Linked DNA regions of Saccharomyces cerevisiae S288C. The gene in region 3 interacts genetically with the main gene of each other region. Each region holds a gene or a part of one and is shown on either strand. Other genes may lie near its edges.

Region 1 (2,866 bases), on a different chromosome or scaffold from region 3:
AATTGAATGCTTTTTTATTATGCTTTCTTTTGTACTTGCTGACTTTCTCCCTGTCTCTGCGTATATTGCCAAATGTGACAGTTAAGCTTCCATCTAAAGAAACTTCTTCCCAATCAATATCACTTAAATCATCTTCTTCATCCTGGTAAAAACTATCAAAAGAATCATCTGTTTCTTCCTCCTCATAAAACGATACTTCTTTCTTCTCAATCTTTGAGTTTTTTCGATTGGCCTGATCATTTTGGCTTGATTCTAACAGTCTCTTGGCCATTACTTTTCTTCTCACTATTCCTTAAACTCATGTATGCTAGGTTTCAAGGTTTGACCCTTCGTTGAATATCGAATTTGGTCATTCACCCTGGCTTGTGTGTTTTCCGTTTTATTATTTACATTTTCCAGAGGGCCACTAGAAAAAAAAAATACTTATCTATCCATATATTTTACAAATGGTAATGTATGTGCATCTGCCAGTACCAAAGGTGGAAAGAAAAGTATACAGTTTATTTATTTGAAGTATGATAAATTTTTTGGCTTGATGTCAACTGGCTGTAAGTTTTTGTCCAATGGGTCCATTTTTCTTTTGGCTTTAGATCTACATCTATTATATTCACGTGCAACGCATTTTCAGCACTGTTCCATTCAATGAAACATGTCACGTCTCTGAGTGTCATGAGTAGCAGATGCTCATCGTTTACATCGTTGATTGATTTTATGTCACTTATTGGAGTTGTGTTCTTTGTAAGTTTTTTCTGTAAATCATAAAGGATCTTGAAAATGTTATTGTCATTGCGCAAGTACTCATGCATGGCATCTTTAAACTTAACCGGAAATATATTACATTCTCCAAATATTAATTCCAAGTGTGCTGGATTCATTAGTAATTGATTGTAACAGTACTTAGTGCCTCTACCCTTAAATGCATTATGAGTACAGTTCCTACAGTAATCTGTATCATAGTATAACCATTTAGGCTTCAATTCTAAAATAACTGTTTGCAGATTTTGTGAACAATAAGATTTTAAAAAGTGGTTATTTAATATCAGATTTGAGGTATTATTGGTGAGATTTTTAATTTTGATAACTTTGACTACCTTATCGTCTAAATTTAGAATAAAGTCACTGAGAATTGGCCTTATAGCTTCTATATCGACGTCAATCAGATACATCGGGCAAAGCAAGCCATGTAGAAGAGGTTCTACATAATCTTTAATATAACTGATGTTTTTGATTGTATAAGAATTATTTGATGATAACAGATCGGGCCAACGGATGCAGCATCGCCACAACCACGTAGGATCCCCATAATCAATCAGTATATTTGCCCCACCACGTCCGATGACTTGCATCGATCTTTCTTTTCAAAAAAGGAACTTATCTCTGACAATTTTCGACTGGTAGCATATCACGGTTCGAATTAATTTTGGAAACCCTAAATGGGACCGCATCAAAAAAGTACCTTGTGAAAATATCTTCGATAAATAAACCACTGAGGAACGAACAAGAAAACCATAAGTAAGTGAGGATGATCGTATTTCGTCGCTTTCCTACGTGCCTTTTACATCACATTCGACAACCGGCATCCAGGAGTCTTTTGTTGGAATCACAAAGGCGATCATTATCTTTTACATCTTATAAATATAACAGCAGCCACATTGATGATGATAAAAGTAAAAAAAAGCTTAAAAATGTTTTCCAAATGAATAGCAATAGAGTCATTCGTAAGCAAAAAACAAAAGAAGAATTGGCCAAAGAGAGGTTCGAAGAACAACTGAGGTCACCTAATAGATTTGTGAGGTGGGGAGCTATTGCGAGATCAGAAAAGTTTTCAAAGGGAATGACCAAGTACATGATCGGTGCTTATGTGATATTTTTAATCTATGGTCTCTTCTTTACCAAAAAACTGTTTGCGAAAGACAAAGAACTGGAAAGATTGTTGAAGAAACAAGAAGAAGGGAATGCCAATGAATACGAAGCATTAAGGATTAAAGAATTGAAAGGAAAACTAAGGAGGAGAGATGAATTGAAATTAGAAGAATACAAAAAAATGCAAGAAGAAGGCATTGAAAACTTCGATGATATTCGGGTACAGAATTTTGATCAAAACAAATTGAATGAACAAATATTGCCAGCAAGAGACACAACAAACTTTTACCAAGAAAAAGCTAACGAATATGATAAGGCAATTAATATGGAAGAGAGAGTAATATTTCTCGGTAAAAGAAGGAAATGGTTAATGAAACATTGTCAAGGGGATGTTTTGGAAGTTTCATGCGGTACAGGAAGAAATATCAAGTACCTTGATATGTCACGCATCAACTCTATAACATTCTTAGACTCTTCTGAAAATATGATGGAAATTACACATAAAAAATTCCGAGAAAAGTTTCCTAAGTATAAAAAAGTTGCATTTGTTGTTGGAAAGGCGGAAAATCTAGTAGACTTAGCAGAGAAAGGTAAGCCCTCTCTAGAGAATGAAAAGGAAAACCAAGTAAAATATGATACTATCGTGGAGGCGTTTGGTTTGTGTTCCCATGAAGATCCGGTTAAGGCACTTAATAATTTTGGCAAGTTATTAAAGCCAGATGGAAGAATTATTTTACTGGAACATGGTAGAGGTCAATACGATTTTATAAATAAGATATTAGACAACAGAGCTGAAAGAAGACTGAATACTTGGGGCTGTCGATGGAATCTCGACTTAGGCGAAGTGTTAGATGATTCTGACCTAGAATTGGTGGAAGAAAAACGGACTCACTTAGGCACTACTTGGTGTATCGTTGCAAAGAGAAAAGGTGATGTGAAAAAGAAAGACGAGCTTGGGTTTGTAGAAAAATACTTGCAATCAAGTATTAGAAAGAGAATGGAA
Region 2 (9,765 bases), on a different chromosome or scaffold from region 3:
TTCTAAAGTGTTTCTGGTAAAGCAGGCAGTAATATTTTGGTTAGCCAGCTCACTCAAACTTAATAGATCATAGGCTATGTTTGGTGTGTGTAGTGCTTTTATTGATGTTTTGGTGCCGTTCTGAAAGTTGAAGTGAAGATTACCAATGGCATTTATAGGAATGTCTTGTTTTTGAGCATCGACTATGTTTATTTCAGAATTGGGTGTTGCATGGTGTAAATAATGGGCTGATCTGACAAGCGTTTGCGAAGCTCCTGAATCAATAAGAAGGTGATCAGGTAGTTCGTCATTCGAGTCTATTGTGTGTGTTGGCTTAGATTCTTTCTGTTGCTGGCCTAAGACTAAGTTCGTTGTCATCGCTTAAGTATTGTGATGAAACGGTTGATTCATTAATGTGATCATTGTTCACCCTTGAGAATTTACTAGATGTAGCAATATTGTGAGCTTTTGCTGCTCTTGGTTTTGAACTATTTGTTCTATGATAATTACGAGTTGTAACCTTTGTGTTAGTCGTGTTTGGAGATGTGCGAGAAACATTTTTGTATTCGCTGTGTTGTTTGTATTGGGACGGTTTATTTAGATTCATGATTTTATTTTCGTCATATATTAATTGAATTTCAGCGAATAATTGGGAAAGTTTCATGTTCGTTTTGGTACGATATTGATTACGTAGGTATTTGAAGTCACCGGATAGACCTTTAAGTATTAGTTGACAGGCCAATCTGTCGCTAACATTGATATTGTTTTCTTTTAGCCTCTGAATGATCGTACTGACTGTAATTTCAAATGTATCAGCAGATGTACTTCCGTCGTACTCAAGGTTGGCAAGAGCTATCCAATCCTTTAATTCTTGATTGTTAGTTTGCATTTTGGACACACTTTTACAAAGGACTGTAAGGATGTCAGCATAATTAATTTCTAAAATTTGTTTTACCCATGTTGGCAATAAATGAAATGGGGCAAATGCTTGGAAGGTATTGTATATATACGCATGTTCTTCATAAGTCATTTGTCTTTTGATTTCACCCTGGTCATTTGGAATGATGTCACCGAGATTAGAGTTCTTCAAAAATCTGATGTAAAATTTAACCCATGTAGAAAAGTTTTCTTCTGATGTTAAAGTGTGTGGTGGTAAGACGTTATTTCCCACCTTTGTCTTAGCTTGAGGTATTTCAGAGTGTTGATTTTTTAAATCGATTGGATCAGGTGAGGAAGTACTCAGTGGTGGGATATACTGTGGCAACGGATAGTGTGGGTCCGGTTGATAATACGCAGGTGACGTTTGATAATGTGAACACGTCATCATAGATGGTTGTTGGTAATGTGCCCAGTTAGAGGCCATAGCTTTGTTTGGGGTCATCATGCCGTGCTGTTGGTACTGTCCATTCTGTGGAGGTGGTACTGAAGCAGGTTGAGGAGAGACATGATGATGGTTCTCTGGAACAGCTGATGTCCCAGGTGTTGTCTCTTGTTGAGAATTAACCTTAGTGGAATCTCTATCAAATTCCGGTAAATTGGAAGCTGAAACGGCTAACGGATCTTGATTTGATGGGACTTCCTTAGAAGTAACCGAAGCATAGGCGCTACCATGAAGAGAATGTGGATTTTGATGTAATTGTTGGGATTCCATTTTTAATAAGGCAATAATATTAGGTATGTAGATATACTAGAAGTTCTCCTCGAGGATTTAGGAATCCATAAAAGGGAATCTGCAATTCTACACAATTCTATAAATATTATTATCATCATTTTATATGTTAATATTCATTGATCCTATTACATTATCAATCCTTGCGTTTCAGCTTCCACTAATTTAGATGACTATTTCTCATCATTTGCGTCATCTTCTAACACCGTATATGATAATATACTAGTAACGTAAATACTAGTTAGTAGATGATAGTTGATTTTTATTCCAACAAGAAGGTTGCTCTTTATATAGGTATATGTCACTAATTAATGTGCTCTGACGCATATCCTTATGGCGCTAATTTGCTCGTCTAAGGGTTCAACGAAAACTCCGGACCTAAAGATCGCGAGCAAAATTCAATTAAGTTTTTTTTTTTTAAAAAAAAGTTGAGTAAATACTTATTTAGTTTTGGGTTACTAAATTAAAAATTGGGTGTGATCACTAATCTAATGTCTTGTTAACGGAGGTAGATGATGAAGATCCGGACGAGGCAGGACGTTTCAACTTCTCAACAGATACCGACTTTCTTCTGGTTTTGCGTTTCTGGAAACTCAAGTTGGGGCTCGTAATGTTTACTGGTGTAAATTTCGGAGGCATAATGACCCTGGTAAATTTGTTTCTCAATTTCTGTTGAACATAGTCCATATCCAAATGCTTCGTCAGGGAAATCTTTGGAATACAACTAATATAATGCCTGTCATCTAATTGAACATCTAACGGATCTTGAGTATGACACCCAGGAGACATTTTTAGTCTAATGGAATGCGATTTTTGACCAGAAGCATCCGTACTCTCATAAAGTTCAAAAGTGATCTGCGACAAGTAGTCTAGTTCTGGTAAAGCATTTCTAGCGATTCTCATTGGAATACCAGATTCGTATATGATATTCAATAGAGTGTAAATATGGGACTCTTTGGTGAAGTACGCAACACAAGCTGGAGTTTCTCTATTTTTCATGTCTCCTATATCATTTAGTATTTGCTTTGCCAAAGGCAACGAAGTTAACAAACCGATATCCAGTTTCTCTGCATCTGAAATACCATATTCTTTGGGGCAGATAAAATCAAACAATACTTTGGCCAGCTTATACAGCTCCCGCAACTGCATAAAGCGTGGCTCATCGAATTGAGAAGAAGATTTGGGGTTTCTTGCTGTAGATGTTTTTCCGCTTTCCAGAACCCATCCTAACGACCCAACACTATTACTACTGTTCTTTCCAGAATTGTTCATGCTATGACTGTCTATTATCTTAAAATTATTTTTGGCGAGAACGTTAATTGGGTATCGGTCAACTAAAGAATGACTGCCGAGTTCATCGGCGATAGCTTCATTTGGAAGACCCGGGTCAAATATGTTCTCTAGGAACTGCCTGTTGTGAAGAGCATCATACTTCATAGTATCATACAATTCAGAAATTTTAGAAGGATCGACTTTTTCAGCATTATTGAATTCTTTGAAAAGTTTATCCCACCTTTCCTTAAACAAACTAGGATCTTCAGAAGTACACCATCTTGTTTGCATCGAGTTGACATCCTTTTTAGCAAAGTTGTTATCCATAATTTTTTTATGGTAATTCATCAATTCAACCACTCGCTTTATGACTAAATATGGCTCCGGCATCTTTGAAGGCCAGGCAAATTGTGGGGGAGCTTCCTTACCCTCTCTTAAAAGTGGCTTCAACTTCTTTTTCACCTTATCCATTAAATCTTTGGCGGCATTACTGTCATCTAAAAGATCCTTTCTAATACTGATTTCATCGCTACCTAATTCATCGGCCCCAAAAAGAGCTCTGGTCCAGTACTGCGCCGTATGAAGAACACGTCTCTCAGACGATGAAAATATCTTGATGTTTTGTAGAATGCTCTTATTCAATAGGTCAAAATCTTGTCTCATTTGCTCTCCGAGTTCCGTAGCCTGATATTTGGCAGAATGAGTGGGTTCACCACCCCATTTCAAAATAAACTGAACTTTTTCCACTTCGTTCTCTTTATTTAAAACCGGTTTCAATTGTATTTTCGTACCGGGAAAATTCAGTTTCTTTTCTAGAGCGTTTGCTAACACTTTAATTTTAGCTGGATTTCCTGCTTTTTCATCTAACGCAATTCTTAAGGCCTGAAGAACAATCTTTAAATCATTTACATTCCGAATGACAACTTCTTCTTTGTGACCTTTTAGTAACGATATAAAAATAGGCGAAGTGAATGAATGTTTGAATTTCTGTTTTGGTGTTCTGTCCGCGTGACGGATAATGATAGCCAGTCCTTTGAATACCCACTTTTGTTCCTTTTCTTCACGAATAATGGGCAGATTCTTCTTTTCCATATCCATCTTCTTTTTGGCTTCAATGAAGGTACTTCTCAATATATTGGCGCATGAATCATAGTAAGCTTTGTTATCCTTTACAAAAGAAAATCCGTTAACATCAATGACGTAACTTTTACCAGAAACGCGAAGCAAATCGAAACCACAGATCATTTGTGAAAAAGCTTTGGAAACTTTCCCAGCAATGGTTTTCTCTTCGTCTGATAACTCAGTAATATATCTAACTTCTTTACCATGAGTATTTCTTCTAACTATACCATCAACCACAGGTGATTTCCTAGTTTCAGCGTGACAAAAGTTCTCACCAATCGTATAAGCCTTCACATCTTCGAAATTATCGGTATCCATAAACTGCTCATAAATGTAAGACCCCTCCGTACGAGGATGAACCAAAGTAGGATCAAACTCAGAAGACTTGTTACCAACTTTACGGAATAGACGACGACCGCCTCCTCCGTTCTTAGAATGATAGTATATATAAATGTTGTGGTCTTCACCATCAACGGGCTTTTCAACAAAGGGCTTAGTCATGGTTTTCCCATCAACTTCTAAAGTATCATCATCAACCATTTTCCATTCCGGTTCTTCAACGGGTTTAACTTCTACGCCATGCTCACGTAATTTTGCCCTTAATTCTTCGTTGGCACGGGGACCACCATCTCTACTGATTTCCAGTCTAGGAGGTGTTGGAACGTTGTAGGCTTCTAATACTTGTAGACATAATCTCCTGTCCCACAAAATCTTTTGCATTATTAAATCATTGATAATGAAAGGCTTGCGTAACTTGACGTATTTAATTGCTTTATCTAGGGGAAATCCTGAAGAAAAGAAAGATATCAAAAAGTCGCAAGTTGGCCAATTCTCTATTCTTTCATCTAGAATCACCTTATCTCCAAAAATGACAGTTTCAAATTCACCATGTTCAATTAAACGATTCAAAATGTGTCTCATTGGCTTTGAAAGGACTTTTGCATCCATTGCACATACCCCAATCTTCCCTACCTTGGGTAGCCTAGGTTTGGGATGACTAGTCGAGGATTTGCGTGAAGAAGCTGATGAAGTAGGTACAGAGTTAGTTCCCATGTTAGTCTGCTCAGCGTCCATTGTTCCTTGAGGTAAATGGGGCGATCCGGTCTTGGAGATGGAATTTATGTTATCTGCATCATTGACTATGTTAGAATTGCTGAGCCCCTCAGGATCAGCTTCTGACTTTGATTCACTGTCTGCCTTTTTTAAACCGGAAGTTGTAACTGTATTGGTGTTGTTTCCGTTTCCTAGTGCAGTGCTTATGGTTCTTTGCAGAGTATCATGCACGGTGAGATTCTCTTCACTGTGATCATCTTGAATACCGGGAGGTGGCAATTTCAAAGACATATTTTCGCTAGCTGACGTCTTAGGACTGAAACCCTCCAATATTGGTGCAATAGATTGCATAGCCTTCTGTGTGTTTTTGTTTAGGAAAAGGGGTGACATCTCAGAAGGTGCACTAGGTAAGTTATTTTTTGTCTCTTGTTGAGGAACCTCATCAGATTCAATCGGTTCCTTCTTTATCCCACTCATGACCTTCTGCAATATATTAATATGCTACGAGATGCTTTTGAATTTGTATGAAATGCTCAGTGGGTAATTTAAGTGGTGAACATATTGATTCAATGATTAATTGCATTTTTCCTATCTTAAATAAATGATTTTCTAAAAACATTTTTGAGCACGTGCTTTTTTTTTTTTAACTGAAAAATTTTGAGAAAAATTTCGCGATGAGATTGCTAATGAAATTTAATAAGTCCTAAGCACAATAAATATACAGCGAAACAGCAGCAAGGAATAAGACACTGAAAAGGCTATAGCGAGTTAGGAATAGTACATTATGTCTATCGACTTGAAAAAAAGAAAAGTCGAAGAAGACGTAAGAAGTAGAGGGAAAAATTCTAAGATATTTTCCCCTTTCCGGATTATTGGTAATGTTAGCAATGGTGTTCCTTTTGCTACTGGTACATTGGGATCTACCTTTTACATTGTAACGTGTGTTGGTAAAACATTTCAGATATATGATGCGAATACCTTACATTTACTTTTTGTTTCCGAGAAAGAAACACCATCCTCAATTGTAGCATTATCAGCACACTTTCACTACGTCTACGCAGCATATGAAAACAAGGTTGGTATTTACAAGAGGGGTATTGAGGAACATTTGCTTGAGCTAGAAACTGATGCAAATGTCGAACATTTGTGCATATTCGGAGATTATCTTTGCGCTTCCACCGACGACAATTCCATCTTTATATACAAGAAGTCCGATCCGCAAGATAAATATCCATCAGAATTCTACACTAAACTTACCGTTACTGAAATTCAAGGTGGCGAAATTGTGTCTTTACAACATTTGGCAACTTATTTGAATAAATTAACTGTCGTTACCAAATCTAACGTTTTACTTTTTAACGTCAGAACCGGGAAGCTTGTATTCACATCAAACGAATTTCCAGACCAAATCACAACTGCTGAACCCGCTCCAGTCCTGGATATTATTGCTCTAGGTACCGTGACCGGTGAGGTTATTATGTTTAATATGAGAAAAGGTAAAAGGATCCGCACAATTAAGATTCCGCAATCAAGAATCTCCTCATTGAGTTTCAGAACCGACGGTTCTTCTCATTTGAGTGTGGGAACGAGCAGTGGTGATCTAATATTTTATGATTTAGATCGCCGTTCAAGAATACACGTTTTGAAGAACATTCATAGAGAATCGTACGGTGGTGTCACTCAGGCTACTTTTTTAAATGGTCAACCCATTATTGTTACATCAGGTGGTGACAATTCCCTGAAGGAGTACGTTTTCGATCCGTCATTATCTCAAGGAAGCGGTGATGTAGTTGTTCAACCGCCAAGATATCTACGTTCCAGAGGGGGTCATTCTCAACCACCTTCATACATTGCGTTTGCTGATTCGCAATCACACTTCATGCTATCAGCATCCAAAGATAGATCATTATGGAGCTTTTCTCTGCGTAAAGATGCACAGTCGCAAGAAATGTCACAAAGGTTACACAAGAAACAAGATGGCGGCAGGGTAGGTGGTAGTACAATTAAGTCTAAATTTCCTGAAATAGTGGCTCTTGCAATTGAAAATGCCAGAATAGGTGAATGGGAAAACATTATCACTGCACATAAAGATGAAAAGTTTGCAAGAACCTGGGATATGCGAAATAAAAGAGTTGGCAGGTGGACTTTTGATACTACTGATGATGGATTTGTTAAATCTGTGGCCATGTCGCAATGTGGTAATTTTGGATTCATCGGTTCTTCTAACGGCTCTATCACCATCTATAATATGCAAAGTGGTATACTCCGTAAAAAATACAAATTGCACAAAAGAGCAGTCACCGGTATATCCTTAGATGGTATGAATCGTAAAATGGTTTCTTGTGGACTAGACGGTATTGTTGGTTTTTATGACTTTAACAAGTCAACCTTGTTGGGAAAATTGAAATTGGATGCACCTATTACCGCAATGGTTTATCATCGTTCTTCCGATCTATTTGCATTGGCTTTAGACGACTTATCAATTGTTGTTATTGACGCAGTTACTCAAAGAGTTGTTCGTCAATTATGGGGTCATAGTAATAGAATAACTGCATTTGATTTCTCACCTGAGGGCCGTTGGATTGTTTCCGCTTCTCTAGATTCCACCATTAGAACGTGGGATCTTCCAACCGGAGGATGTATCGATGGTATCATAGTAGATAATGTCGCTACGAATGTAAAGTTTTCTCCGAATGGTGACTTGCTTGCCACTACCCATGTTACTGGTAATGGTATATGCATCTGGACGAACAGAGCACAATTTAAGACAGTATCGACAAGAACCATCGATGAGTCTGAATTTGCAAGAATGGCGTTACCTAGCACATCTGTTCGAGGGAACGACTCGATGTTATCAGGGGCTTTAGAAAGCAATGGAGGAGAAGACCTAAATGATATTGATTTCAACACTTATACATCATTGGAACAGATTGATAAGGAGCTGTTGACTTTATCAATAGGACCTAGAAGTAAAATGAACACATTGCTTCATTTAGATGTTATCAGAAAACGTTCTAAGCCAAAGGAAGCTCCAAAGAAATCAGAAAAGCTTCCATTTTTCTTGCAACTATCTGGGGAAAAGGTTGGGGATGAAGCCTCTGTCAGAGAAGGCATAGCACATGAAACACCAGAAGAAATCCATCGCAGAGATCAAGAAGCACAAAAGAAGTTAGATGCAGAAGAGCAAATGAATAAATTCAAAGTTACAGGAAGATTAGGGTTTGAATCACATTTCACAAAGCAATTACGAGAGGGCTCACAATCCAAGGACTATTCATCATTGCTGGCCACTCTAATAAATTTCTCACCTGCTGCAGTGGATTTGGAGATAAGATCATTGAATTCCTTTGAGCCATTTGATGAAATTGTGTGGTTTATCGACGCGTTAACACAGGGGTTGAAGAGCAATAAAAATTTCGAACTTTATGAAACGTTTATGAGCTTACTGTTTAAGGCACACGGTGATGTTATTCATGCTAACAACAAGAATCAAGATATTGCCTCTGCTCTTCAAAATTGGGAGGATGTACATAAGAAGGAAGACAGATTAGATGATCTTGTGAAGTTTTGCATGGGAGTGGCAGCTTTTGTGACCACCGCGTGAGCATTATATAGAACAAGTATATTAGTAACAAAGGCAGATTGTATATTTTTCTTTTTCCTATGATGTTTTTTGAGAGGGTAACCAAGAATTATTTATTGGGTTTGTTGCAGTGTTCTTAAAGGGTCCCTCCCACATTTAATAAATGATCGACAATAAATAAATGTTCCTTACATTCTCAATGTGTGTGAACTGGATAATCGTAAAAATGCCAAACAGGTCTGAAGAACTTGACCGATTACTCGACAAAATAATCAACTCTCCGCATAGAACAGAAGCCTCGAAGACTTTGCAAGAAATTGAAAATAATCAATCATATATTTTAAATGTACAGTTGAAGAAGTTATTGCGACTTCATGACGACTCATTTAAAAATAAGTGTGTTTCTCCTATTAACTATATGTTGGAAAAGTACACTCCGTATATGGGGCATACCGAAGCATTACAAAAGGAAGCAGAGCTTGTGGATAGGGATCTCCGAATCCTTGAAATGACGTACCAACTGATAGAAAAGAATCGCAACTCGAAATAAAACGATAAATATATTCAATGTTTTTAAATTAGTACTATTATTATATGTTATTATTAATGGAATGAATCAATACGTATTTTATACAGAAATAAGATTTGAGAAAGAAGGGTAAGAAAAAAAAGAAGAATAAGTAAATGACGAAGTTCTTTAACTGAGTTAAAGTTGTGTAATGCAAATTTGAAGAAAGGAAAAGATGCTATAAGGCAAAACAAAAAGGACGTCGACACTCAGTCATGGCATGCCCTTGGCAGCATTAGCCCACTTTCTCGTTTCCGTCCAGCCTGCATTTATGACTTGTAAAGCATCTTCCAGATTTAGAGGCTCTCTCAATGGCTTATCATCTACCACCAGTTTCTTGTAAACTCGAGCATAATATTCCTGAGGTATAGCTTGGAAAATCTCCCTTCGAGTAACTCCGTCATTATTGGCGCTTTCACTTTGCTCAGTGGGTTGTGTCCAGAGTTGTCTTCTTCGTTTCCAGATTTTCTCAGCGTTACAAAACGGCGCCTTACTTTTCTGTGCTAATTTTATGCGTTC
Region 3 (7,536 bases):
ACCTTGAAATGCAAAATTCGTATTCTCTGCTAAATTGAAAAATTTAGAGCATGAAGTGTGTTTTCCAGCAGACACCGCCTGTGAAAAAGATGGTAAAATGATATGATAATTAAACACACATAATAATAGCATATATGATATATAAGACTATATGAAGAGATGAGGAGAAGAGAAGAAAAAATTGGTAGTATTTTCATTTCATCTATTTCTTAGCAGTCAATCTTCTTAGGTAGAAAGCTAATTCTTCACCTTCCAAGATGTAACCATCACATCTACCGGATTGACCTGGTCTGGAAGAGATACAAGCGTATAATCTACCGGCGCTGAATTGAGATTCAACGGAAGATTCGATCTTGGCAGAAGCAGCTCTAGCAGCCCACTTTCTTTCAGCGTTCTTGCTCTTGGCAACAGTTTCTTCTTCCTTGACGTTCTTCTTCTTACCCAAGGTTTGACCGTAGTGAGCTTCGAACCATTGTCTGAATGGAGTAGCATCAATTTGGACAATGGCAGCCTTGGTCAAAGTGTTAGTTCTAACCAATTCATTGTTGGATGGATGGTAAACAACACCAGCAATTCTGGTCTTCTTGGAGATACCTTCAGAAGCCCAAGAAAAGTTACCGGTTTCAATTCTTAGAGCTCTGTATTTCTTGTTACCACCTCTAGTTCTAACAGAGTGAATTCTCTTAGCACCGATCTTGGTGTTGGCTGGTTGACGGCCTAATTCGAACTTTCTCTTCTTTCTGAATTGAGCACGCTTGGCACCGGTAGCGGATCTTTTGTGACGAGAATCACGAGAAATACCCATTTTGTAACTGTAATAGAAAATTTAATGACGCTTGTTAGTAAAATAAAGAACGTACAAAAGTTGCGGAATTTTTTTCTTATCTTGAAATATGCTTTGGTTTCTTTTCATCTCTTCTTGTGAAAAACTCGGCGTTTCATAAGAGGCTTGATTTTTTGGGTACACAAAGGATTCAGTTTAGTGCACTGCTCCTGTCACAATTTATATCATCCCTTTTAGTTAAGTTTACTTTTTCCACTATCTATTCCATTCAAAGAGAGGTCCTGTAGCATTCAAAATAATATGTAGTTCCATTACTCATATGACCATAGCACATACTTTTTGTCCTGGTGTGTTTATAACGTCTTCTTGTGAGTACCAAAAAGCAAATGGCAAGTGTAATTTCCTATAACTTTAAGATAGGCCTGTAAATAACGTATATGAAACAGTTCCATCCCGTAACACCATGAACACTGCGTAAGAGAAAGCCCTCAAGCTTTCCCAGCGATGCTCGTGTGTAGGACCGAACATGGAGGGGGGAACTAGGCCCAGCACGGGTTTGGCGAGGCCGCTCTGCTCGCAGCTCAGGATTCTAAAAGGTTATTCCGCTGAGAAAATCAGAAAATAGGAACTTCTCACGCAATAATTTTAAAGTTGATGAAAAAGGAAAATTTGTAAAAGTGTAAGGGTGTTAAAGAGGGTGTATGGATGTAAAGTCACAAAAGTTAGAGCAGATGAAAAAGAAATGGGTGGAGACAAATCCGAAAAAGGACCTATATTATCGCTATAAAGAGCTTCTCATCGCTTTTTTTTTTCAAAGACACATACATACCACGACTGTAAGCACATCATTTGTACAATACATTACCAGCTGAAATGTCAACATATGACGAAATCGAAATCGAAGATATGACGTTTGAGCCTGAAAATCAAATGTTCACCTATCCTTGTCCCTGTGGAGATAGGTTTCAAATATATCTGGATGACATGTTTGAGGGCGAAAAAGTTGCTGTTTGTCCCAGCTGCTCACTGATGATCGATGTAGTTTTCGATAAAGAAGACTTGGCTGAGTACTACGAAGAGGCAGGCATCCACCCCCCTGAGCCTATTGCCGCTGCTGCCTAAAGATGAGAGGCTAGATCGAGAATACAAATAGAAATAAAGAAAGAGCTATATGACTTAGCAACGCAAGCAGAAAAGAAGGTTTGCTTCTTCGCTGGACTCCGGTTGGAATTACTATTCAAAATTCCAAGTGCACTGATGGAAAACGTTTTGCTCAGGTTGAGCTCTTTTACTGCATATAAGGATACTGGGTAGGTGTATATGATTATTTTATACATGATACGTAGGCTAAAATGATTTGGACCCATTAAATCATCTTGTCGCATCTCTTTTCTTTTTCCTCCATGCTCAGATTTCAATAATATCATCTCAAATGGCTGTGACAAATTTCACCGGAAAGGCGAGGGATTTTTCTGTTGACATTATCAAATTAGCTTTTTGTCAAAATAATGAAAAATAAAGAAAATATATAAAAGTACATATTATAATCAAAGCTAGCTCAGGTATATTCCCACCTTGTCGAGCATTCCGGAAGCTACAAATACGACATTGCATACCAAGAGGCAAACGTTGAACAATGGCTAAAGATATTTTGAAGAACCAGGACCCTAAATTGCAAGCGATGATCGTTGAACACTCGGCGCCTGCTCCCAAAGAGATACCTATGGACGCTCCTGTTTTGAAAAGAGTCGCTAGACCTTTAAGACATGTAAAGTTCATTCCAATTAAATCGCTGATATTCCATACTAAAACAGGGCCCATGGATTTTTCTTATGAAAAGAAGATCAAGACGCCTATTCCTAAGAACAAAATTGTAGTTCGAGTAAGTAATGTGGGTTTGAACCCTGTAGATATGAAAATCAGGAACGGCTACACATCGTCGATTTACGGTGAGATCGGCTTGGGGAGAGAGTACAGTGGTGTTATCACTGAGGTAGGCGAGAACCTAAACTACGCCTGGCACGTGGGTGATGAAGTATACGGTATATACTACCACCCTCATTTGGCCGTGGGATGTTTGCAAAGTTCAATCTTAGTAGATCCAAAGGTGGACCCAATCCTTTTGAGACCAGAATCGGTTAGCGCCGAAGAAGCTGCAGGCTCCTTATTCTGCCTGGCCACCGGCTATAATATTCTGAATAAATTATCCAAGAACAAGTATTTGAAGCAAGATTCAAACGTTTTGATTAATGGTGGAACTTCGTCAGTGGGGATGTTTGTCATACAATTATTGAAGCGTCATTACAAGTTACAGAAAAAACTAGTGATTGTAACGTCTGCAAATGGGCCCCAAGTTTTACAGGAGAAATTTCCTGATCTGGCTGATGAAATGATTTTCATCGATTACTTAACGTGTAGGGGTAAATCTAGTAAACCACTAAGAAAAATGCTCGAAGAAAAGAAAATTTCTCAGTATGATCCGGTCGAGGATAAGGAAACTATACTTAACTATAATGAGGGGAAGTTCGATGTTGTACTCGATTTTGTCGGTGGTTACGATATTTTGAGTCATTCTAGTTCATTGATTCACGGCGGTGGTGCGTACGTAACCACTGTAGGTGATTACGTTGCCAATTATAAAGAAGACATTTTCGATTCATGGGATAACCCAAGTGCCAATGCAAGAAAAATGTTCGGGTCTATTATCTGGTCATATAACTACACACATTACTATTTTGATCCGAATGCAAAGACGGCTTCCGCCAATAATGATTGGATTGAGCAATGTGGCGACTTTTTGAAGAACGGTACTGTAAAATGTGTCGTCGACAAAGTTTATGACTGGAAAGACCATAAAGAAGCATTTTCTTATATGGCCACTCAACGTGCCCAAGGAAAGTTAATCATGAACGTCGAAAAATTCTAGATACCCACTTACATTTACAATATGTTTTATTTTTAAACTTAATGAACTTCATAATTTAATGCTTAATATTTTCCCCCTCCCACCTTCTCCTGGCGTTCTCTGTACGTACATAACCATTTATTTTAATATATAATCAAATATTGTAACAATTGAAGCAGATGAGTCTCGCTCCTTAGTTAAGCACGTGCCGATGATATCAATTGGATTTGTTAGCAAATCAGCCTTGCTGCTCGATTCTCTGCTTTTTTTTTACTTCTCGGTCATTGAAAAATCCTGACGAAAATATTTCAAGGTCCTATATGGTCATCGACCTTGAGCATGTGGTAGACTACATAATGCACATAGACTCTCAGCTTCAACTCCACAAGGCTTCTCCAGCAAAAATGAATTCAGAGTCTCGAGAAGATATGGCTATAAATAGTATCAAATTGCTAGCGGGAAACTCCCATCCTGATTTGGCTGAACAAATATCGAAAAAGTTAGGTATTCCACTTTCCAAAGTTGGTGTGTACCAGTATTCTAATAAAGAAACCTCTGTCACCATAGGTGAGAGCCTTCGCGACGAAGATGTGTATATTATCCAAACTGGAATAGGTGAACAAGAAATTAATGATTTCTTGATGGAATTATTAATTTTAATTCATGCTTGCAAAATTGCATCTGCAAGAAAGATCACTACTGTAATACCCAATTTTCCATATGCAAGACAAGACAAGAAAGATAAATCCCGGGCGCCCATTACCGCAAAGTTGGTTGCCAATTTATTGCAAACTGCTGGTGCTGATCATGTCATCACAATGGATCTCCATGCCTCCCAAATTCAAGGGTTTTTCCATATCCCGGTTGACAACCTATATGCAGAACCAAGTGTTTTAAATTATATTAGAACGAAAACAGATTTCGACAATGCTATTTTGGTGTCGCCTGATGCAGGTGGTGCTAAGAGAGTAGCTGCTTTGGCTGACAAGTTAGATTTAAATTTTGCTTTGATTCACAAAGAGAGGCAAAAAGCTAACGAGGTTTCAAAAATGGTGCTTGTTGGTGATGTTACCAATAAATCATGTTTATTAGTTGATGATATGGCGGATACTTGTGGTACGTTGGTAAAAGCTTGTGATACGTTGATGGAGCATGGTGCCAAAGAAGTTATAGCTATTGTTACACACGGTATTTTCTCCGGTTCAGCAAGAGAAAAGCTAAGAAATAGTAGATTGTCTAGAATTGTTTGCACAAATACCGTTCCGGTAGATTTGGATTTACCTATTGCTGACCAGATCGATATTAGTCCCACGTTCGCTGAAGCTATAAGAAGACTACACAATGGTGAATCCGTGTCATATTTGTTCACCCATGCTCCAGTATAGGACAATTTTTTATTCTTAGATTCCTGATTGCTTGCATGCCTAAATACTTCATAATTGTATTAGTTTAAAAGAAAACCTTTTACTGAGACAAAACTATAAATTTAAGAAAAAGGTTCCGGAGCCGGTTTAAAAAAAGAAGATTAAAGATATTATATTTATGTAAGAATTAAATTAATACTGTCAGAGAAAAAATAGTTTTAAAGGAGACGGTGAACCTTTACCTTCCTTGATATGCAAATATTTTTCAGCTTTTCCTAAAACTAAACATTCTCGACTTTTTTTTAGAAGACTTTATGGGTGTGTTAGAAACAAAGCTGTCGTCTATAGCAGTATCCAAATCGTCTGCTATAGGCAGCTCTTCCTTTTTCTTTTGACCACTATTGCAAGTTCTTAGCCAATCATCGTACTTGATTAGATTGTCTATATTATCATCTTGTTCTTTTGCCATATTTTCACGATCATTCTTTTCAACAGCGTTTGAATACATCGCTTTATAAAACAAAACATATGCTGTTGCCATATTTGGAGATTCACCTGTGAATTCTAACACTGTTTCCTCTTTAACTGCCTCTACCGTTTCGTCATCAAATAACAACCAGCCAAACTTTTCATGTTTACATAGGGAAACATAATGGCCGTGTTGTGGCCCACCGCCCATATGAACGACAATCCCAGCCAATTCATACTTTTGACAAACCTTAGAATTTATTGAAGAGCAAACATTTAGCGTCAGAGGATAGTGAATGTTATTAAAAAGCTTAATATTACAGTTTTGTTTCTCAGAATACTTGAATCTTTTCAAGTGTAATGTTAAAGTATCAGGCAATTGCTTCAAACCAACTAATCTCTCTGCCTCCTGTAAACCGCAACATTCGTCACAATAAAACTTGTTTGAGCCATTTAGCATTTCTCGCTGGTGATAACTTTTCAAAATTTCCTGTATATCTGTTTCCTCATCTCCCTGAACTTCTATGGGGAAATCCAAAAATGGCTCATCCCTAGATGTAATGTTATCGCACGTCAGACATTTTATTTGATTCGTTAAAGTGCCTTGAAACAAGTCACTGATGAAATTTTTACTCTTACTCGGTTCGCTATCGCTGTTGATATCACTGGCTGCTATTTTTTTATTCTCACGTTCTATATATTCACTCAACTCGTTTAATAAGAAATTGAAAAATTCGTGAGCATCCTGATGCATAGTAGTATTAAATAATACATTTTCTCTTTTGAGAACATCAACAAAAGAGCTAGGCGATACAACACCAGTTAAATACGTATTCTCAGTTATGCATTCAAAGATATCTCTCAAACTGGAATACAAAGTAGCCTTATCTGAGCCGTTTAAGCTATGGTCAATATTGAGCACTGGCCCACGAATAAGTGCGGATTTCTTTCTATGTTCTGGGGATATTTGAGAAGAGGAACTAGATCTTCTAGTATCTTTTTTATCAAGTGGAGTGGATAAGCTGCTATTACTTTCTCCTTTCAAGTCCAGGTTATTACTATTACTGCTACCTCTTGAAGGATTTTCATAATTGAGAACTCTGCCAACAATTATTTTACGCGGAACATCCGGAGGTCTATCTGTGACGTTCTCGAAACTCAATCTGCTCGGAGCACCAGGCTCATTAGGTGTTTCGACTATCAATGGAGGTGCGTCTTGAGGACGAGAAGAGGGTTTTCCAGTGGTTAATATAGCAGGACTTCCTTCCTTTTTATTATTGTCTTGTACATGTTTCGCGCTAAAACTTTTAAAAAATTTACTCTTCTTCTCTGAAGGCCCAGCTGTATTTGAATTTACAGAATTTACAGGGGTAGGCTTTCCATCATCAACAGATTGAGGTTTAGGGTTAGGCAAATGTCCATTGGTACCAGCAATGCTTTTCTCAAAACTTGCTTCGGTAAATATTCTTGGTTTCTTACCTCTCATTTCTTTCTTTCTTGGTTGATCAGATTCTCTTGATTTTTTTGGAAATTGCAATATATTTTCACGTAATGAGGACAGATTATAGAGACATTGAAGAACTGAGTTACAGTAACATGTATTGCCAAAATTTTCGTATCCAAAAACTTTGTTGGAGCCGTCTCCATAGGGCATTGAGTCGGACACCTTCATAGCTAATATGGGTGCCTCGGGCCCTTGCGTGATAATGCCTCCGTATGCGTTTATAGCCTTTGCGTTTGAAATATAAAATATCCCATCCTGGCTGTAATTACTGCCTTGATTGCACGTTTCAGAAGAATAGTCTAGTCCGGAAGAAATCTGCAAATTATTGTCTTCATTCAAAAAAGTTTCCTTGGTATCCAAATTAGAGACAAACAATGAGCTAGAGGGATTATCGGATGATTCGCTATAACAGAGTTCATCATTTATATCGTGGTTTACAGGCTTAAAGTCAACCTTTTCTACTTCTTCTGTAATGGTATCATTAACAGCCTTTTTCTTCTTCCCAGACTTA
Region 4 (7,972 bases), on a different chromosome or scaffold from region 3:
GGTACTACACTAAAATTAATAGCTCTTAATATCAAGTCCATATCAGATGAAGATGTGGGATATATCCAAAATGTTGAAAGACTGTCTTTAAGGAAAAATCACTTAACATCCTTACCAGCGAGTTTCAAGAGGTTATCAAGGCTGCAATATCTGGATTTGCATAATAACAATTTTAAAGAAATCCCATATATTTTGACACAATGCCCTCAATTAGAGATCTTGGATCTGTCCTCCAATGAGATTGAAGCATTGCCAGATGAAATATCATCGTTTTGGCAAGATAATATTCGTGTATTATCATTGAAAGACAACAACGTTACTAGCATACGTAATTTGAAATCGATCACAAAATTAAACAAGCTGAGCATCTTGGATTTAGAGGATAATAAAATACCCAAAGAAGAGCTTGACCAAGTACAGAGTTATACTCCATTTCATACGGGCATCCCCAAAGAAGAATATTGGGCAATTGCGATATCACGATATCTAAAAGATCATCCTAACCTACCTACTCCAGAACCTAAAATATCTAGAGCAGCGAAAAGAATGGGATTCATAAATACGAACTTGTCTAATGGAGCAATGAATGAAAACAATATAATTTCACTTGCCCCAAGTGCAAATACAACTATAAGTGCATCTACTGCAATGGTCTCATCTAATCAAACCTCTGCAACATCTTTCAGTGGTACAGTCAATGCAGAATCAGAACAAAGTGGGGCAGTGAATGGTACGGAACTATACAATCACACCAAATATAATGACTACTTCAAGAGGTTGTCGATTTTACCAGAAGAGTCAATGAGTAACGGGCATCAAAAAATATCGCATGCAGAGTTGGTTGTTTCCTGTCGGAAGCTCCTATTTAGTTTTACAGAATGCCAACAAGCTATCAGAAAAATCGCCTCTTTCTGTAAAGAGAAGGCCGTAGCGGTTAATGTAGTATCATTATTATACTCTGTCAGATCACATACTGATAATCTGGTGGAGGTCTTGCAGCAAACAGAGAACGAAGACGAATCGCATGATCAGGCGTTAATCAAGCTGTGCCTCACTATCATCACAAATTTTAAACAAATTATAACATTGTTGAGAAAAAATTTTGAGATTTTTTTCAAAGAAGACGATCTATGCTTCATAAGGATGTTTTATATGACATTAATGTGTGCTTATATGGAAATGTATAATGCATGGTCTTTTATCAAAGAAGATGATCAAGTGTCCGGTTCTGCAAGTAAGGCACCCAAGAAACATTCTTTTTCGAGGCACGAGACATCGTCCAGTAGTATCACAAGCGGTGGAGGACCCGCAGCAAGTACGACCAGTACACATTGTAGCGGAAACATAAAATTACTGCCGAAAACAAGGAGCACAAGAACACCATCTGCATCTGCATTGCTTTCAAATAGTAATATTCTGACGGGTGATACCACTGCTGTTCCTCTTTTATCACCAAATCTAAATGGTGCACACACCCATGGTCCAATTTTGGGACACCAAAATGCAATAAGCAATGGAAGTTCTCAAACGAACATGAATGAAGTAAAAACTACTAGCGATACTATTCCAAGGCAACAGCTGCTTCAGCACAATAAATCCATCAGCGATTCGAAAAAAGAGTCACAGGCGCATGAACCTAAACAGCATCCGGTTATGACTTCTTCAATAATTAACGCATCAAATAGTAATAACGTCTCGAATGTTAATATAACCCCACCACCGATGAATGGTGGTGGTGCCGCGAACAGTAGTGCTAATGTAGTGGAGACAAATATTGACATTCAACTGTATCAAACGTTGTCCACAGTAGTTAAAATGGTGAGCGTTGTATATAACCAGTTAACTTCAGAGATATCCAAGATAGCCATTGCTAGCACCATGGGAAAGCAAATTTTGACGGACTCGCTAGCACCTAAAATTCGTGATTTGACGGAAACATGTCGTCAAGCGATGGATTTATCCAAACAATTGAATGAAAGGTTAAATGTATTAATACCGAACGATTCAAATTCAGAGAAGTATCTGACATCTTTGGAGAAGCTGAAAACGTGGGAGATAATGAATTCGTTCTTAAAAGTAATAATATCAATTCTGGCTAATACTAAAATCGTAATGAGCGACGTGCCTAATTTGAATGAGCTGAGACCTAACCTAGCCAACTTGGCGAAGATTACCAAGGATGTCACTGTGATATTGGACTTGAGTTCATACAAGGCTGTATCAGTAAGCGCCAACTCTCCGGAGTAATATAAAAACTTGCATTGTGAGAAAACGCGAACTTTAGAATACGTAATGGGAGGATCATATACCCCATGGTACTGAAATGTATGCTTTATATATATATATATATATATTTATATATTTATGCATGAAAAATGAGGAGTTCGGAAACAGAAGTTTTAAAAGTTACAGATTTATTGTATAAAAGATACACGCCACTGGTTGAATGTAAATGTTAAAATGAATTGGCATGGTCTAAAAATCCCTCGTAAATCTTGCTTAATTCATAATGGTAACCATGGATACCCTGGGATTCCAAAAATATGGGTAGGCGAACTCTTGTTCGTTCCGCGATACCTTTTAACCTCACAATATCAGTCCCATTCAATCCTGCTATGTTCTTGCTGGCTGAAGACGTTTTAGGGACTTCTTTGCAATTATCATTATCATCAGTTAGAATTACAAATATCCTGTCAAGGATGAAGAAGAGTTTGAATAATTTGGATAAAGTGTCATTAATCTCTGAGTCTTCCATATTTTTGAATGTAAATTTTTCAACGTAATCGATGAGATCGTCCGCAATTTTTATTAAATAGGACCCTTGACCAAAATAACTAGAATATCCGCATGTATCTTTTGGGTTTCGGGAATCTGGGCAATGTCTCTTTTCTTCTGATTGAAGTAAATAGTCTGAGTTTGGAACATGGGCAATAGAATACCAAACGAAGTCAACTAAAGTTTTTAAATCCTGCAGCAGCGGAGTAAGACTGGCATAGCCGTTTTTGATATTCAGGCCCCTGGATTGAACAAATTTTCTTTGAATTTGTAAAAGCTGATCATCAACGTAAGAGATGAATTTGGATTGTTGAGACATTGACAATCTTCTCGGGTGTGACGTTCCATTGTGATCATTTGGCAATAATTCACTCAGCTTTGTGGCAGACGAAAAGGGAGAAGACACGTTTATTCTAGGCTGGAAATCGTCAACATCATCGAGCATAGTTACGTCGTTGATTGTGTTGTTAGTTTCATTGTAAACATCATTGAATTCTGGTGTATGATATCTTCTTTTCTTATTACAATTACGCTGCCATATAACGTTGTCTATGTTAGAATTTACGACATCACCTGAGTCTGCACTAATTTCTACATCTGAGTTTGGATCCAAGTTTAAATCATCAATGTCTTTTTCATCTAGATCATTTAAGTTGTTCAAGTCCAGTTGCTCATTCGGTTGAGCATGTAATGGTGTGTTTGGCTCAGACATCAAAATACTGTGTTGAAATCTTTTATTTTTATAATATTTCTTTCCTTACCAGGGCTTGGAGTCTCTACAACAGTTAGCTTACTGTTTATTCTGCCACATTTCCACCCTTTTGTGGGGCTTCTATTTCAAGGACCTTCATTATGGAAACAGGGCGAGGTTGTTTGTTCTTCCTGCATGTTGCGCGCAGTGCGTAAGAAAGCGGGACGTAAGCAGTTTAGCCATTCTAAAAGGGGCATTATCAGAATAAGAAGGCCCTATGAGGTATGATTGTAAAGCAAGTGGTGTAAAATTGTGTGCTACCTACCGTATTAGTAGGAACAATTATGCAAGAGGGGTCCTGTGCAAATAAAAAATATATATCTAGAAAAAGAGTAGGTAGGTCCTTCACAATATTGACTGATAGCGATCTCCTCACTATTTTTCACTTATATGCAGTATATTTGTCTGCTTATCTTTCATTAAGTGGAATCATTTGTAGTTTATTCCTACTTTATGGGTATTTTCCAATCATAAAGCATACCGTGGTAATTTAGCCGGGGAAAAGAAGAATGATGGCGGCTAAATTTCGGCGGCTATTTCATTCATTCAAGTATAAAAGGGAGAGGTTTGACTAATTTTTTACTTGAGCTCCTTCTGGAGTGCTCTTGTACGTTTCAAATTTTATTAAGGACCAAATATACAACAGAAAGAAGAAGAGCGGAATGAGACCGTTGTATAGCTGCAACCTTGCAACCAAAGATGATATTGAGATGGCAGGTGGCGTAGCTCCTGCTCACCTGGAAGTTAATGTAGGCGGCTATAATACAGAGCAGACAATACCTATAGTAAAGCATCAGCTCGTGAAAGTTGGGAGAAATGATAAGGAATGTCAACTCGTTCTAACGAATCCCTCTATCTCCTCTGTTCATTGCGTGTTTTGGTGTGTCTTTTTTGATGAGGATAGTATTCCAATGTTCTACGTTAAAGATTGTTCTCTTAATGGAACGTATTTGAACGGTTTGCTTTTGAAAAGGGACAAAACGTATCTTTTAAAACATTGCGACGTTATTGAATTATCGCAGGGAAGTGAAGAAAATGACATTAAAAAAACACGACTAGTTTTTATGATTAATGATGATTTACAATCTTCTCTGGACCCAAAACTTTTAGATCAAATGGGTTTTCTGAGGGAAGTAGACCAATGGGAAATAACAAATAGAATAGTGGGTAATGGCACTTTCGGTCATGTTCTGATCACGCATAACTCAAAAGAACGTGATGAAGATGTCTGTTATCACCCTGAAAATTATGCTGTGAAGATCATTAAACTAAAACCAAATAAATTCGATAAAGAGGCTCGAATCCTTTTGAGACTGGATCACCCAAATATTATCAAAGTCTACCATACTTTCTGTGACAGGAACAATCACCTTTACATATTCCAGGATCTTATCCCTGGTGGTGATTTGTTTTCTTACCTAGCTAAAGGCGACTGTCTAACTTCCATGTCAGAAACTGAATCGCTATTGATCGTCTTTCAAATTTTGCAAGCTTTAAACTACCTTCATGATCAAGACATTGTTCACCGCGATTTGAAACTAGACAATATTTTGTTATGTACGCCAGAACCGTGCACTAGAATCGTCTTGGCAGACTTTGGTATAGCTAAAGATTTAAATTCCAACAAAGAAAGAATGCATACTGTCGTAGGCACTCCGGAATACTGCGCTCCAGAAGTTGGATTCAGAGCAAACAGAAAAGCATATCAAAGCTTCTCAAGAGCAGCTACGTTAGAGCAACGAGGTTATGACAGTAAATGTGATCTTTGGTCTTTGGGTGTCATTACACACATTATGTTAACAGGGATCTCGCCTTTTTATGGAGATGGTTCTGAGAGGAGTATTATTCAAAATGCAAAAATTGGGAAGCTGAATTTCAAACTGAAGCAGTGGGATATTGTTTCAGATAATGCCAAGAGTTTTGTCAAAGACCTTTTGCAAACTGACGTAGTTAAACGATTAAATAGTAAGCAAGGTCTCAAACATATTTGGATTGCAAAACACTTAAGTCAATTAGAGAGATTATATTACAAAAAGATATTGTGCAATAACGAAGGCCCTAAACTAGAAAGTATAAATTCAGACTGGAAAAGGAAGTTACCCAAAAGTGTTATCATTTCTCAGGCAATACCGAAAAAGAAGAAGGTTTTGGAGTAATCATAGGATTATCTCTTCCTCTTTCAAACTGCGCGTAGTTCAAAATAAAAAGGTATCTGTGTAAAAAAAAAAAAGTAAGTCAATTGTATGATTTTTAAGTAAAAGTTGCCCTTTTCTACTAGAAACGGCGAGAAAAAATGATAGTAGTGTGCCAAGAAGAATATGAAGTTACTTTTTAAAAGATATTCGTCTAGTCATATTGGTAAGCTGATTAAGGACTCTTTAATCACTCCTGAAATACTACCACAGCTAGGGCGACAGCCATCATCGCATAAACGTTTACCAAATAACAAAAGAACTAACTCAATAACTGATAAATGGTTGAAGGATGCGCTAACAAGAAAAGATAAACTGAATGAAGATAAGCTCCAAAATGTAAATTTACGATTAAATGTGGTACTGACTACTCTACAGAAGCTTCGTACATCCGATAATCCTGCTTTGTATTTTGCGTTGTTGAATCGTATTGGCACAGGTCACATAAAATGGCTAAATAAAAGTGGCCGACAGATTGATGCATTCCCACCTGATCGGCTGCCTTTGGAATTTTATCATGAGCTATCTAATATGCTCTATAAACTATCGCTTCGGTCCGCAAATGACAAAATTGCACTAGCTAAATTTTCATTGCAATTATTGGATCGCTATTATTTTCTTAAAACCAAATCTTTAACTATAGAAGGAAAATTTCGGGCAAACATAAAATTTTTGAGGAATTGTACTCTTTTAATTGTTAAATCCCAATCGAACTACTACTTAAGGGCAATACAGCGGTTGTTCGCGGAAAATTCGGAGGGTCAATTATTAGCCAATTTATCCCAGCTGGCATTTTATGTGGAGACCTCCCAATGGACAAGTATGTTGGATATTTTATCCTCATGTGTACCGGATTCTGGTTTAAGAGGTTCGAAGGAGCGTGAAAGAGCTATTCAATTGTTGGAGTTATTTAGTCCATGCCTAGTCAAAAGTCTAAAAGTAATGATAGCACAAAATATGGAGAATGAAGCTTGTCAGATTTTAAGGAGCTTGTCTGAATGGAACTTTCATTTTGATCAGCATGATTCCTCCAACTTGATACAATTATCCCAGAACCATTCTTGCCTCAAAGTTATTGAAACCATGAATGGATTATCATCAACTACCGCTGTCACTAGGCAATTCGGACTTGAAAAATTACCAACTGACGTGAGTTTGAAGCAGAGCATACATATTTTATCAAAAGATAATTTCGAACCTCTCAAGCAAGATTCATTTCTTCAATTTCTATCGTTTAAATTAAGTGATTTGCCTCTGAACTTAGAAGTATGGAAAAAGCACATTAAGGAGGTTGATGACCAAATGCAGGCTGAGTCCAACCTGCATTCCTTAAGAGCTTTTTTTATTGATATGCTACTGTGTCACTTATCTGTGCGCAAGGATTTCGATTTTATGCTTTCATTGGTCGAGCACATAGTATACGAAAAAAATTTATGGCAGCCATTATTACTCACAGATAATATAGTTGGAAACAAAGAAAATTCCACTTTTCATTGCCTCTTTCATGGCGCCTCTCAAGATATTTCTACCAAACTTACTCTACTGGCATTGTATAACCAGTTGAATGAAATCGGCTATCAATTTACCTCCCACGATTTTCTCTCGATGTTGAAAGTCTGCAAAAACTACTCTGATTCTGATTTTTTCTATTTTGCTTTCTATAATTTGTTGGTTACACAAAGTCACAAATTTTTTCTTTTCGATAAGTTTAGTGATAAGTTTTCGTGGAGGTTGCCAATACAAATCGGAGATGCAATTTCTGAATGGCTATCCAGCTTAGAAATTGATATACAAGAAAACACCGATAGAGTTTTGCAGATAACAGATGACGTCGGCGAATGGTATGTTGAGAATAAACCATTTAAGTCAGAAAAAGGGACCATTCAACCAATAAACATAATGGAATTGCGCAAAATTTTTGGGGAGCGAAAAACTCTATTTCATATGGATTCAGAAATTTTCCAAAAATCTAAAGCAAAAAGAGATAAAGAAATGCGGAATGAAGCTTTATTTACCGCAAATGATGCGGAATATAATTTTGCTGCGGATGTATCCTATGCAAAGAGAGTAGAAAATCTATTTTCTTACATAAGATCTAAGCAAATGCAACAAAAATAATGATTATATGTAAAATTTGCCGTTTACATTCTATAAAGTGATATCAGACTCTAATATATTCGCCAATTCATGTTTCTGGCAGGCCACTTGTAGAGCTTGGAGTTGCCTGGTGACACCTAATTCCAAAAATATCTGG

Evidence for each region.
Region 1: mutations in PRS4 (region 3) and IPK1 together harm fitness more than expected from each alone (negative genetic interaction), as found in Saccharomyces cerevisiae (4 studies listed by BioGRID).
Region 2: mutations in PRS4 (region 3) and VIP1 together harm fitness more than expected from each alone (negative genetic interaction), as found in Saccharomyces cerevisiae (3 studies listed by BioGRID).
Region 4: mutations in PRS4 (region 3) and MEK1 together harm fitness less than expected from each alone (positive genetic interaction), as found in Saccharomyces cerevisiae (3 studies listed by BioGRID).

The regions. Positions count from the first base shown.
Region 1 is NC_001136.10:1,092,241-1,095,106, forward strand, and holds IPK1 (inositol pentakisphosphate 2-kinase), read right to left. Parts: upstream 1,347-2,866; coding exon 501-1,346; downstream 1-500. Other genes in the region: RAD34 (Rad34p), read right to left, coding at 1-271; OMS1 (putative RNA methyltransferase), read left to right, coding at 1,523-2,866. UniProt on the Saccharomyces cerevisiae protein: Has kinase activity and phosphorylates inositol-1,3,4,5,6-pentakisphosphate (Ins(1,3,4,5,6)P5) to produce 1,2,3,4,5,6-hexakisphosphate (InsP6), also known as phytate.
Region 2 is NC_001144.5:933,348-943,112, reverse strand, and holds VIP1 (inositol polyphosphate kinase VIP1), read right to left. Parts: upstream 5,573-9,765; coding exon 2,132-5,572; downstream 1-2,131. Other genes in the region: YLR410W-A (gag protein), read right to left, coding at 314-1,630; rRNA-processing protein UTP21, read left to right, coding at 5,880-8,699; BLS1 (Bls1p), read left to right, coding at 8,860-9,228; GAG1 (Gag1p), read right to left, coding at 9,460-9,765. UniProt on the Saccharomyces cerevisiae protein: Bifunctional inositol kinase that acts in concert with the IP6K kinases to synthesize the diphosphate group-containing inositol pyrophosphates diphosphoinositol pentakisphosphate, PP-InsP5, and bis-diphosphoinositol tetrakisphosphate, (PP)2-InsP4.
Region 3 is NC_001134.8:88,321-95,856, forward strand, and holds PRS4 (ribose phosphate diphosphokinase subunit PRS4), read left to right. Parts: upstream 1-4,093; coding exon 4,094-5,074; downstream 5,075-7,536. Other genes in the region: 40S ribosomal protein eS8 RPS8A, read right to left, coding at 203-805; YBL071C-B (uncharacterized protein), read right to left, coding at 1,138-1,236; KTI11 (Kti11p), read left to right, coding at 1,658-1,906; YBL071C (uncharacterized protein), read right to left, coding at 1,903-2,211; AST1 (Ast1p), read left to right, coding at 2,421-3,710; ubiquitin-specific protease UBP13, read right to left, coding at 5,319-7,536. UniProt on the Saccharomyces cerevisiae protein: 5-phosphoribose 1-diphosphate synthase involved in nucleotide, histidine, and tryptophan biosynthesis. Active in heteromultimeric complexes with other 5-phosphoribose 1-diphosphate synthases (PRS2, PRS3, PRS4 and PRS5).
Region 4 is NC_001147.6:992,728-1,000,699, reverse strand, and holds MEK1 (serine/threonine protein kinase MEK1), read left to right. Parts: upstream 1-4,188; coding exon 4,189-5,682; downstream 5,683-7,972. Other genes in the region: SOG2 (Sog2p), read left to right, coding at 1-2,247; TFIIH complex subunit TFB6, read right to left, coding at 2,456-3,487; MNE1 (Mne1p), read left to right, coding at 5,845-7,836; CIN1 (Cin1p), read right to left, coding at 7,867-7,972. UniProt on the Saccharomyces cerevisiae protein: Probable protein kinase required for meiotic recombination.